3 linked regions of the Rattus norvegicus genome follow. The protein of the gene in region 2 interacts with the protein of the main gene of each other region in a biochemical or structural test. Links are inferred from orthologs where the notes say so. Each region holds a gene or a part of one and is shown on either strand. Other genes may lie near its edges. The genes, in order: Pcna, Rad18 and Ube2a.

Evidence for each region.
Region 1: of the proteins of Rad18 (region 2) and Pcna, one has a biochemical effect on the other in vitro, tested with the Homo sapiens proteins (21 studies listed by BioGRID, with this or other methods). The link is inferred for Rattus norvegicus from reciprocal best matches to the Homo sapiens genes RAD18 and PCNA.
Region 3: the proteins of Rad18 (region 2) and Ube2a form a complex in vitro, tested with the Homo sapiens proteins (12 studies listed by BioGRID, with this or other methods). The link is inferred for Rattus norvegicus from reciprocal best matches to the Homo sapiens genes RAD18 and UBE2A.

Annotation. Positions count from the first base shown.
Region 1 is NC_086021.1:139,953,250-139,956,997, reverse strand, and holds the start of Pcna (proliferating cell nuclear antigen), read left to right. Parts: upstream 1-1,177; 5' UTR 1,178-1,239; coding exon 1,240-1,460; intron 1,461-2,266; coding exon 2,267-2,364; intron 2,365-2,509; coding exon 2,510-2,577; intron 2,578-2,810; coding exon 2,811-3,005; intron 3,006-3,748. UniProt on the Homo sapiens protein: Auxiliary protein of DNA polymerase delta and epsilon, is involved in the control of eukaryotic DNA replication by increasing the polymerase's processibility during elongation of the leading strand.
Region 2 is NC_086022.1:147,359,813-147,363,460, reverse strand, and holds part of Rad18 (E3 ubiquitin-protein ligase RAD18), read left to right. Parts: intron 1-1,411; coding exon 1,412-1,749; intron 1,750-3,210; coding exon 3,211-3,310; intron 3,311-3,648. UniProt on the Homo sapiens protein: E3 ubiquitin-protein ligase involved in postreplication repair of UV-damaged DNA. Postreplication repair functions in gap-filling of a daughter strand on replication of damaged DNA.
Region 3 is NC_086039.1:120,979,066-120,982,813, forward strand, and holds the start of Ube2a (ubiquitin-conjugating enzyme E2 A), read left to right. Parts: upstream 1-1,018; 5' UTR 1,019-1,156; coding exon 1,157-1,200; intron 1,201-1,350; coding exon 1,351-1,431; intron 1,432-1,812; coding exon 1,813-1,838; intron 1,839-3,748. UniProt on the Homo sapiens protein: E2 ubiquitin-conjugating enzyme that accepts ubiquitin from the ubiquitin-activating enzyme E1 and transfers it to a E3 ubiquitin-protein ligase. In vitro catalyzes 'Lys-11', as well as 'Lys-48'-linked polyubiquitination.

The sequences.
Region 1 (3,748 bases), on a different chromosome or scaffold from region 2:
CGTGTCAGTCTTGGTAGATAGTCCAAGCTGAGTTTAAATCTAGGCCCTCCCACCTCAGCCTTCCCATGTGCTGGAATTAGCTGTAAAACACTCTTACCAGCTAAAACAATCCTTTTAACTTTCTGAAATTTTATATGTCTTATTAGTAAAAAAAAAAATGCAAATAAATAAAACATCACACACCAAAAGTTGTGTCTACAGTTAGAAGAGGCATTCCAAATGGAAGCTGGAAGTTTTACACTTCCACTATCAAATATATTTTATCTACCACCAAAACCAAGAGAAAAAGCATTAGAAATAGAAATCATTTATATCCTTTTGTAAATGATGCCCATTACCTACATTCAGTTCTTCTCCATCCTCATAATCAATAGGAAAAAGAAGTTTTAGTAGAACAAAATGCTGCAGCCCAGGGACATATGAAAGACGCTTCACCTGCAACAGCTAATATTTTCAAGATGGGGCTCAGGCTTGGGTTCATCTTAAGCCTAAAACTAAGATGAAAATACTAATATCTACCTTTAAAAATATAAAAGAAACCAACCATACAGGAAACTAATTACGTGGTACACATGAACTATATATCTTTGCAGAAGCGTTCGCGTTAAGAGGCATTTTTTTTTTTAAATCTTTAGGGAGGAAAGTTCAGAGCGAAGCACCCAGGTAAGTGTTATGAAATTGGGGAGTGTTCAGATAAGATGGCCTCTTTATTACTCAATATTTTGCGGCATATTTTTTACGCAGTAGTAAAAGAAACGCACTCCACTGTGTTTGAAGGAACTACAGTCTCCCTCTTCAAGGCAGGCCGCCGCGCACTGCAAGTGGCTTTCATTTCCGTGGCGCAGAAACTTCCTAAGGAACATGGAAACCACAGCCTAAGCTCCCTCCAACACCGGCGGTGACGACAGCCTACGCGAACCCCGTGATGCCCCTCGCCTCCCACGCTCTTACCGCACAGCTCCGCCTCTGTATACGCGGCGGGGCGGGCCTTGCTCAAACCACGGATACGATTGGTTCTAGAGGAGAGGTGGGTGGGTCAGCGCTGTGACGCCACAACCTCGCGCACTGAAAGAGCGCGCGCCTAGGAAGCCGCGGCATTAGACGGTTGCGGGCGCAGGTGACTGGTTATCGTCCCTCCTGGTCTTCACGCTACTTCTGCATCGTGAGTCGGGGTACCTTGTCAGCAAGACCTCGCTCCCCTTACAGTAACTCTCATCTAGACGTCGCAACTCCGCCACCATGTTTGAGGCACGCCTGATCCAGGGCTCCATCCTGAAGAAGGTGCTGGAGGCCCTCAAAGACCTCATCAATGAGGCCTGCTGGGACATCAGTTCGGGCGGCGTGAACCTACAGAGCATGGATTCGTCTCACGTCTCCTTAGTGCAGCTTACTCTGCGCTCCGAAGGCTTCGACACATACCGCTGCGATCGCAACCTGGCCATGGGCGTGAACCTCACCAGGTGAGCGGGTGGCGGGAGCTGGGCCCCATCCCTCCCGCTTCGGCTCTTGGCGGGGCTGTGTTCCTGCACTCGCATTGGCTGGCATGGCCGTCCGCGCTTTCTGATTGGCCTGTGGTGCCGGGGACATCACCCACCAAAGCGCGCGGTTCCGAAAAGCCCGCGCTGGCTGTCGCGCCTACTTTTTTCCCGCGCCAAAGCCACAAAGCGGTAGTCAGCGGGAAAATGCGTGCTTCCGAGCTGCGCTCATTAAGTGCCTGCAGCTTTTTCTGGCCGATTTTAGCGCCTAATAAGCGAGTTCTGGTGAAAAAGGACTGTCGACTTAGAGTCTTAGAGTGACGATAGGCCTTTTCTTGACTTCTAGAATCTCACTGCGCGTCATGGATTTGCAGGAAAATCTCAGTTTTAGCTTTTAACTTTGCTACAACTACCTGTGTTAGTGCCTCCTGTATACATTTCAAGGACAATATGTGACTTATTTTGGTACAGATATATGGATTAGTGTCACTTGTATACATTTTGAAACATTTATGAAAAGGCCAGACGCGATAGGGCACACTCTCCAGTACGCTGAAAACCGAGGACACCCCACTAAAAAGGATGCGTTCTTGAATGTTGGCTTTTAGTGCATTTTACTAAATCGATTTTTAAGGATCACATATACCCGATAATTTGCTTAACCTCTGAGAGGGTTCGGGGTACCCTTATCCTCCCTAACAATTCTCCAATCATGAATGTGAAATATAAATTTAAAAATGTAAATGTGGAGACATGATGTTGATAAGCCCTGTGTCCTTTTTTTTTTCTAGCATGTCCAAAATTCTAAAATGTGCTGGTAATGAAGACATCATTACATTAAGGGCTGAAGATAATGCTGATACCTTAGCACTAGTATTTGAAGCACCAAGTAAGTTACACCCTTAAAACTCAGTTGCTACAGAAATTAAAGTGTGCTGTTTCTGTTTCTCACAATTAAAAACAACAGGGTTGTGGTAAATTTACAACATAGATATGAACATGTGCTTCAGTAACACTTGGATTTCTTTTGGTAGATCAAGAGAAAGTTTCAGACTATGAGATGAAGTTAATGGACTTAGACGTTGAGCAACTTGGAATCCCAGTAAGTATCTTGTTTCTGATGGTGTTTTACCAAGCTGTGATACCAGCTGATGCATGTTCTAAAGTGGAGTTGTGGTGTTTGCCATTTCACCAGACCACAACAGCCTAAACTTGATTGAGTTGTAAAGACATCAGAAGTCTTGTGTTCTGAGTTCTAGTTAAGGTGCTGAAACTTGAGAACATGAAGCTGAGTCTTCCTCTTTTCTAGACTGACCTTTAACCTTGCATTTACAGGAACAGGAGTACAGCTGCGTAGTAAAGATGCCATCTGGTGAATTTGCACGTATATGCCGGGACCTTAGCCATATTGGAGATGCTGTGGTGATCTCCTGTGCAAAGGACGGGGTGAAGTTTTCTGCGAGTGGGGAGCTTGGCAATGGGAACATTAAGTTGTCCCAGACAAGCAATGTTGATAAAGAAGAGGAAGCTGTAAGTAGCAAGAGGTGTCGTCCAGCTAACTGTGTCTGAAGCAGGATTGCCGGCTTAGCCATTAAGCCTTGACTTCTGTTTGTTTATTCATTCTTTCATTTTGAGATGGCATTCTGAGTAGACCAAGCTGGCTTGGAACTCAGATGATGCCACATAAGCTTTTACAGACAGGATTTGGAAAGCTAAGTGTACAACCTTTTGCTTCCTGGAAATACTCTTGACAAATCAGTGAGGATTAGCAAGTGAACGGAATGGTTGGGGGTGTAAAAGTCTTGGGATCATGTAGCTCCTCTAATAGCTTTTATGTGTTGTAGGTTCAGTTACTAGTTCATTTAATGGTGCAAAAGCAGACTGAGCAAAGTTAGGTTGTAATTTAGGCCTAGCTACAGGCAACAGGACTCAATACAATAATAAGAATATCCACAGTACCAAAGGAAATAAGACTTCATGCAACTCGGAAAGAGTTGCATTGAATACTCTGACATTTTATGTGCCTAGAGGAAGCTGGACATGGTGGCTCAAACCCATAACTGTGACACTCAAAGCAACAACAGGATGATTCTCAGTTTAAAGTCTACCTTGCAGAAAATGGATCTCAAAAAATGGGGAAGAAATTGGGATGGCAGGGGAAGATGCTTGGCAAGCCCTCATTCAAGCAGAACACACTAGTTCTCTTAATTCCTAAGTAGCCCTGACTCAAGGCTTTCTCAGGAATCAGATGTATATTTCATGGTTACACTTTT
Region 2 (3,648 bases):
TGCCTCTTTTTCTTGATTTCGTCAGATCTAGCACTCTAACGTTAGACTTGAGTTAGAGTCTTCTTCGTCTTGAGCCTGCTGAGTGCTGAGATCATAGGCTTATGCTGCTACCCTTAGCCTAGTTTTTCTTTATTTTTTATCTTTTTTTTAGTTGTAGAAAAATTTAAATATACATGAAAGTATATTTAATGAGACAACCCTCTTACTTACCTTATATTTAACTTTTCCTATGAAAATGGAATGTAATCTTTGTATTCTTTGTTCCTGGCTCTTGTTTTTGGTCTTACCATTGACTCAGGACATTTTCTGCAGTTTTAGGAAAGATGGCTGTGGTAGTTATCTGTGTCTTGTTCAGTATGGGGACTGGGGGATGTCTCATTTGTTGTCACTGTTGATTGATACTAGTTGTGAATTTTTGTTTTGTTTTTAAGTAGCATTTTATCAAATAGTTCTAGGCCTGCCAGGGCTTTAGTGAGACCCTGTACAGAAAAAAAAAGAAGAGAGAAGAAAGGAAGGAGGGAAAGAAAGAAACAGTGCCTTGATAAACCCAGACCAGCAGGAAAGAAAAACTATACTCTTTGAAAGTTAGTGCGTTTTGTTTTGTTCTGACAAGCAGTTACATTACCAGTTCTTTGCTTTTGTTCTGTTAAGAGTTGGTGCATTGTATTATTAGATTCTATTTTAGTTTTACACACATATATAACATGCATATAGATGTAAACACACGCATGCGTGCACATTTGTGTGAACACACTCTGCAGAGTGAACCCTTTTCCTAAGGTTCGGCCTCTGACATCTTGCCTCAGTCCCGAGGTCTCCATGAGGGTATCCGACTTTGGCTGGCCTAAGCAGAGCATCTTTCTAACACTGCCTCTGTTACCTGTTCACCAATGTGTTTCCTACCAGGCTCCCTCCCACATGCCTAGCACATTGCTCTCTAGTTCTCATCATCTTTGCCCCGAATTGTGCTCTCTTCTCCCTGGTCAGGGAGGTGACTTTTCCTGCTTAGATGTCAGTTCAACTACAAATCCGAGAAAGTGCCTCCAGGTGAAGATGTTGGGTCAGTGTTGGTCACCTCATTTGTCTCTCCTCCCAGGGGCCACACTTTTGTGTGGCTTGTGTTGTAGTGCTAACTCTTATTTCATGTCTTTCTCCAGATTTTACTTAGCTGTTGAGGAGTAAGTCTCATGTCAGCAGCTAGAACCCAGTATCCTCTAAAGTCCTAGTAACCGCCTTTAGTTCTGATTTATCGCTTTATTTCTCATTTTAAAAGAAACGGTTTTAGTTTGGTTGTGATTGTGACAGAAGTTCTGTGTTTCAGAGGAACTAAGTATTAACTAGGAAGACTTAGTGGTTTAATATACCTTGGCATCTTCTTTACCTGTTGTTTGTTTGTTTTGTATGTTTCAAGGACTCGCCTGCTGCAGTTTGCCTTAGAGTCACCACCTATATCTCCTGTGTCTTCCACCTCAAAGAAGGTTGTAGTTAAGGTACATAATGTTGAAGCCACCCAACACCCTGTCAAACAGGGGAACAGGTTAATGGATAAGTTCCTGATTAGAGAAACTGGTGATTGTGTATCCGAGTTGTTGGGAAAAGAAAATGAGAGGAAATTCAGCCCTCAAAAAGAGATAAGCACCTCTGCTGATATTAAAGAGACAAGTCTCCTAGGAAAGACGGCACTTGGTCTCTCGGATGCTAATGGTCCTGTGACACCCTCTACATCCACTCTGAAACTGGATACTAAAGGTAGGAAGTCGTTTTTATATTTGCCTTTTATACTTAAGGAAGCCTCACTCATGTGGTATGAGATTAATAGGCAGCACTTTTAAGGGAGAGTAAGAAAGACTAGACGGGGTTTCACCTCACCATGTCTCAGGCATTGATGCAGGCCATGGATAGGGGCCTATTTTATTAGTTTATAGATTAGCAATCAGAATGATTATTGCCTAATAGTTGTAGAGTAAGTCTTGTATCAGCAGATAGAACCCAGTATACTTGTGGTAGCTTTCTGTTTTTAGCTTGGAATCCTATCACCTCATCTAGTTCCAGTTAACCCTTAAAGAGGCCTTCATTTTATACCACTGGTTGAACGTGTCCTTGCTGTTCTGCTTATAGCTTAAGACCCTTTGGCATATGACAGTACTTCAGGGAACCTATCTTATTTCCTGGCTCTCCCAGAATGTCTTGATATCCCACTCTTCTGCAGTATACTCACAATGGCAGAATAACTGAAGCCTGGCTAGATGTGCTGCCTGTTCAGTACATACCGATTGCCTGGTACATGCACTCCTCCTTTGTTTATATATTAGCTCAGGTGTTTTCATGGTGCAGTGGTACAGAGTGGCCTAATGGTGACAGAGCCAGAATGGAAACCCACAACCAATCTCTGTGACCTTACCTTTTACAAAGAATGTGTGTGTTTAGCAAACGCATACAGCCCCCAGTTGAAGGCCAGTAGTGTTTACTGGAAAATTGAAATTAGCTTATTAGTACTTATATTTTTAAGGTTTATTTTATCACTTTATATTTTTGATTATGCGTATCAACATCTCAGCCTGGAGATCGCTCCATCTGCAGTTTTTGTTGTGTTTTTATTTCACAGGGATATGTTTTCAATTCTTGTAGAATTTTTTTCTTTTTTATCCAAATAAAATCTTAGAATGAACCATCCCATGTAAAATAGATACAATTCTCTGTGTTCTATTAAAAGTAGGGAGTCTGGAGACTGGTGCCACAAGCCTTCCTTCTTTGGCCACTGCATTTTAATCCATGGTGGTGTGCAACTCCACAAAGCTGCAGCTTTAATAGCATGCACTTGGCCTGGGAGCAGGGCGGTCAGTAGTTCAGCCAGACCGTAAGAAGCCAGCGAAGCCTTGGTTGCGCATAGGTGGGACCTCATTAGAGTTGCTGAGATTGCTTCTCCTGTGTAAGGTGGTCCTAGGGCCTGGGGAACCCCAGCATTATGGTTTCCTAGCACCTTGTTTCTAGTCAGCTAACTCCCAAACCTAATTGTAGTCTCCAGGCCCAGGATTCTGATCATGTGACTTCCCAAAAAGTAGCTAGTTCCTAGGAACCAGTTTGCCTGCCTCCTTGCTCTTTTTTAAAGAGTGTATCAGCTGGGAGTCTGTCTTTTTTCTGAAAGATGTCAGTTTGTTAATTTTTACCCTTTCTGTGGCTAATAAAGTTTCTCCCTTTCTTTTAATGCAGTGTCTTGTCCTGTTTGTGGGGTCAGCATTCCAGAAAATCACATCAATAAGCATTTAGACAGTTGTTTATCACGGGAAGAGAAAAAGGAGAGCCTTAGAAGGTGAGAAAGCTGGGCCCAGCCTCTGGCCTGCCTTTGCATGATGCCTCTGTGCTTGATAGGTGTGGGTCAGAAGCAGGACTCCTTTGTCCTGGGGACTTGCACTCCGCTTTCCTTCCTGCGTGAGTTTTCCTTTAATGCTGGTTTCCTCTCCATCCTCCTTTTCTTTCTTCAGCTCACCTCTGCCATATGTCAGTAGCAGATTAGCGCTTCCCACTGCTACATTATGACTTAGAGAAACTAGAGACTTAGAATTCATTTATCTTTTAAACTTTCTTTTTAAAGTTCTCAAATGGTCATGCAGAGAGAGGCCTTGCCAAAGAGAGCAGGGACAGCTTATA
Region 3 (3,748 bases), on a different chromosome or scaffold from region 2:
TAGACTTAAAAGTTGGGATTGAATTGTGCACCCTCATCTCAAAGAAGATGGACCCAAAGTCCATTTTCACACTCAAGAGCCATTTATTTATTTATTTATTTATTTATTTATTACTTTCCCCATGATTCTGAGTAGTTACCCCAGCCTCTCGTGTCTGCAGGACCATGACCCTAACATCCTTGCCTTTTGAGAACTTGTTTGCCTGTGCCAACTCTTTCCCCCACTCTCCTGTTTCAACTAATCTTCTCTCCGCTCCTCTTTCCCCGATCCTAGACGTAGTTGGCAGTTTAATAAATCATGCCTTGTCAAAACCAAAGAAAGGTTAAGGCATATTCCTGGCAGGCTGAGGTGACCTCAAGGCCCAGCCTCTGGGATTCACAGTGAGTTTGAGTTAGCCTGTATTACATTAGATACTACAAGAGACCAACCGTACAATCAATCAATCAATCAATCAATGAAGGTGGAAGAAGCAGGGAGCCAACAACAAAACAACAAGTAATTAAAAGATTGGTATGGTGGTGCACTCTTGTAATCCCAGCATTTGGGAGGTGAAAGCAGGAGACTCAGGAGTTAAAGTCATGCTCAACCACACAGTGAGTTAGAGCTTCCCTGGCCTACAGGATACCTTGTTTCAAAAGAGGAAAAAAAGAAAGGAAAGAGAAAGATTTCCTCCCCCACGACCCCCCCCCCCCCAAAGAAAGTAAGTAACTATAAAAAGAAAACTTCGCAGGGGTTCCTCTTCAAATCCGCAAGTGGAGCCCATGCGTTTCCCTTTTAAATTCCCGACAGTTGAAGGCTGCCTTTGCTGCCCGCTTAGCCTTTCCCCTCGAACTTGACCGCCACCGCCCCACGGTCCTGGATTGGGGCTCTCAGGCGGGGCGTGACTGACAGAACAACTTTGGTCCTCCCCCGCCCCGTAGCCGACTTGGTACAGTCCGCCCGGCGTAAGGCGTTCCCCCCCACCCCACCCGCGCGTTCTCCTCAGGTTGGTTCGGCCCCCGTCTACTCAGGGGTGGTGCTTAGCCGGCGCCAGACCGACCCTCGGCTTCGGAGAGGTAGTGCTGTTCCTCTCGGTGCTCCCTCGGCTTCGGCTTCCTCCGCTTCCTCAGGGACCGCGGACCCTGGTATATGCCCTACCTCTGACCCTGCTAAAGCCATGTCGACCCCGGCCCGGCGCCGCCTCATGAGGGACTTCAAGAGGTAACCGGCGTCGGTTAGGGAAAGGCGCTTGAGGGGGCTGCTTGCCCGGGGCACAGGGCGGATCCCGAAACGGAACGGCTCCGGGTGTGGTGGTGAGGGGGGCCGGCCGCGAGTCCCGGGGCTGAGGGGAGCCGCTGTGTGTTTCTGAAGGTTACAAGAGGATCCTCCGGCTGGAGTGAGTGGAGCCCCGTCGGAGAACAACATAATGGTTTGGAACGCGGTCATTTTTGGGTGAGTCTGCGGTCCGGCCCTCGCCGGGGACTCAGGGGACCGGGGCCGGCCCCTCGATGAGCCGCGGGGGGAAAGGGGAAGATAGTTGGGGTTGTTTGGGCCTAGGCGCCTCCCCGGAGCCTCTGCCTCGATTAGCTCCGTTCTCGCTGCCAGGGGAACCGTTTGGGGTTCTAGGGGGGCGGGGTGGGGAGCGGTGGCGGCCTGCGCTGCCTCCAGAGCCCCGAGGGGACAGGGGTGGCTTCCCTAACACCGGACAGCTGTGCTGGACGGAGGGCAGGGATGGGAGACCTTGACAGAGCCGCCTCTTCAGAGGCTGCGGGAAGGTGTGGACCCCCTTGGCTGGTACTAACCGGTTCTTGTTTTTGTTTTCCTGTGTTGCAGGCCCGAAGGGACCCCATTTGAGGATGGTAAGAGAGTTTCTTAGCCCACCTTTCAGGAGCCTACTCACCAGGGAGAAGGGGGTCCCTGGCATCAGCAAGCATCCCCAGCTTAAAGAAGCAGCTTTGCCCTGCCTCTTCTGCCCACCAAAGGCTCAAGTGAAATTCAGTGTGTGGCAGGTTGTTCTGGATGGTCCTATGCTTAACTAAAACTGCACTTTTCTGGGTTTTTTTCCCCCTCCGTTTAATATATCCTGGGTGAAAGTAGTCACTTTTTAAAAGAAGTGCCACAGTGCTGGTATTCAGGATTTTGGAGGTTCGAGCAGTGTTTCTGCTAACTTTAGCCCCCACGGAGATAATTCAATATAAAACCGGTCCACCAGAGACCATCTGGTTCACTATGCGTTCCATCCCGAGGGCAAGAAGTGTGTTCAGCAGTACTTAGTGTGTGCTCTGTTGAGGGCTGAATGAATGCTTGCAAGATTCCCTGACATACAATTCCCTGGCTTCAACAATATGATTCAGAAGGCACATCAGCCTCACTTCTTTAAAGATGTTCTTACATACTTAATTTCAGTATAATGTTGTTCCTTGATTTTAAATTCATTTACAGTGTGTGCTTTCGTTTAGATCTTCTAATTGGTAATCTCAAAGCAACTTCAGAATTGAGATTTGTCTCACAGTAGTACCCAGTGTCCAGCCTACTTGAATGTTGAGTTTGTATCAAGAGGTGCATAACAAACGAGTTAGGCTTAACTTTTAAAAACACACGTTAAGGTCTCTTCAAAATTTGATATATTGAATGCTGCCGTGGAGTCTTATGCCATTAAGTTTTGCGCTTGGAAGGCAGAGCAGGCAGAGGCAGGCAGCTCTCTATGAGTTTGAGACTAGTCTGGCTTACTGTAATTTCAGGCCAGCCAGAGTTACATAGTGAATCCTTGTCTCAAAAATAAAGCAACAAAGAAAAAGCCCCCTTCTAATTTGACATAATTACAGATTCCTGTGCAGTTGAAATAGGTACTATAACAAGTCTATGTAAAGCCTTACTCCAGTCCCATTACCTATTTGGTAATGTCTTGAATGACTACAATAGCAGAATCAAAATGGTCAGTGATACAGTTTTATATGCATAAACCAAATTGTGTGTGTGTGTGTGGGGGGGGGTTGAACCTTTTAAAGGTTTAATTCACTTAAAGGATGATTAGAACTTTCTGAGTTCATGAAATTCTCTGGAATTGGGGGTATTTTAGTAACATACGAATGTGCACAGATACATAGACACATTCACCTTCAGTTTGAAGGTGATAACAGAAACATTTCTAAAACTACTTTTTTTTTTGGTTCTTTTTTTCGGAGCTGGGGACCGAACCCAGGGCCTTGCGCTTCCTAGGCAAGCGCTCTACCACTGAGCTAAATCCCCCAACCCCCTAAAACTACTTCTTATATATGTTGCTGACTCAGACTGCTTTTACTTACTGCTAGTAACCAAACGCTGTGAGGTAAGTCAAAATCAGCCTCGTCTGGAATTTGTCTCAAATACTTAAGATAGTCTTTGGAAACCATTGATAGTTACTAGAATACTGTTAGCTTTTACTCTATCTCACTGGTTAGGTAAATGTTACCTGCCGCAATAAAAAGAAATGACAGAGGACTGAGTGATTCTAGGGCACACAACTTTGGTGAATTTAATGTAAGAGCTAGTCAGTGAAAGAGCTAATTAGACTTAACTTTTCTCTACTATATCGAGATATATATAGTTTTGTTTTTTGAGACAAGGTTTCTTTGTGTAGCCTTGGCTATCCTGGCACTCTACTCAAGAGATCCATCTGCCTGTGTCTTGAAAATTCTAGAATCAAAGGTTGTGCCAAGTCTTTTTTTTTTTTTTTTTTTTGGTTCTTTTTTTTTCGGAGCTGGGGACCGAACCCAGGGCCTTGAGCTTC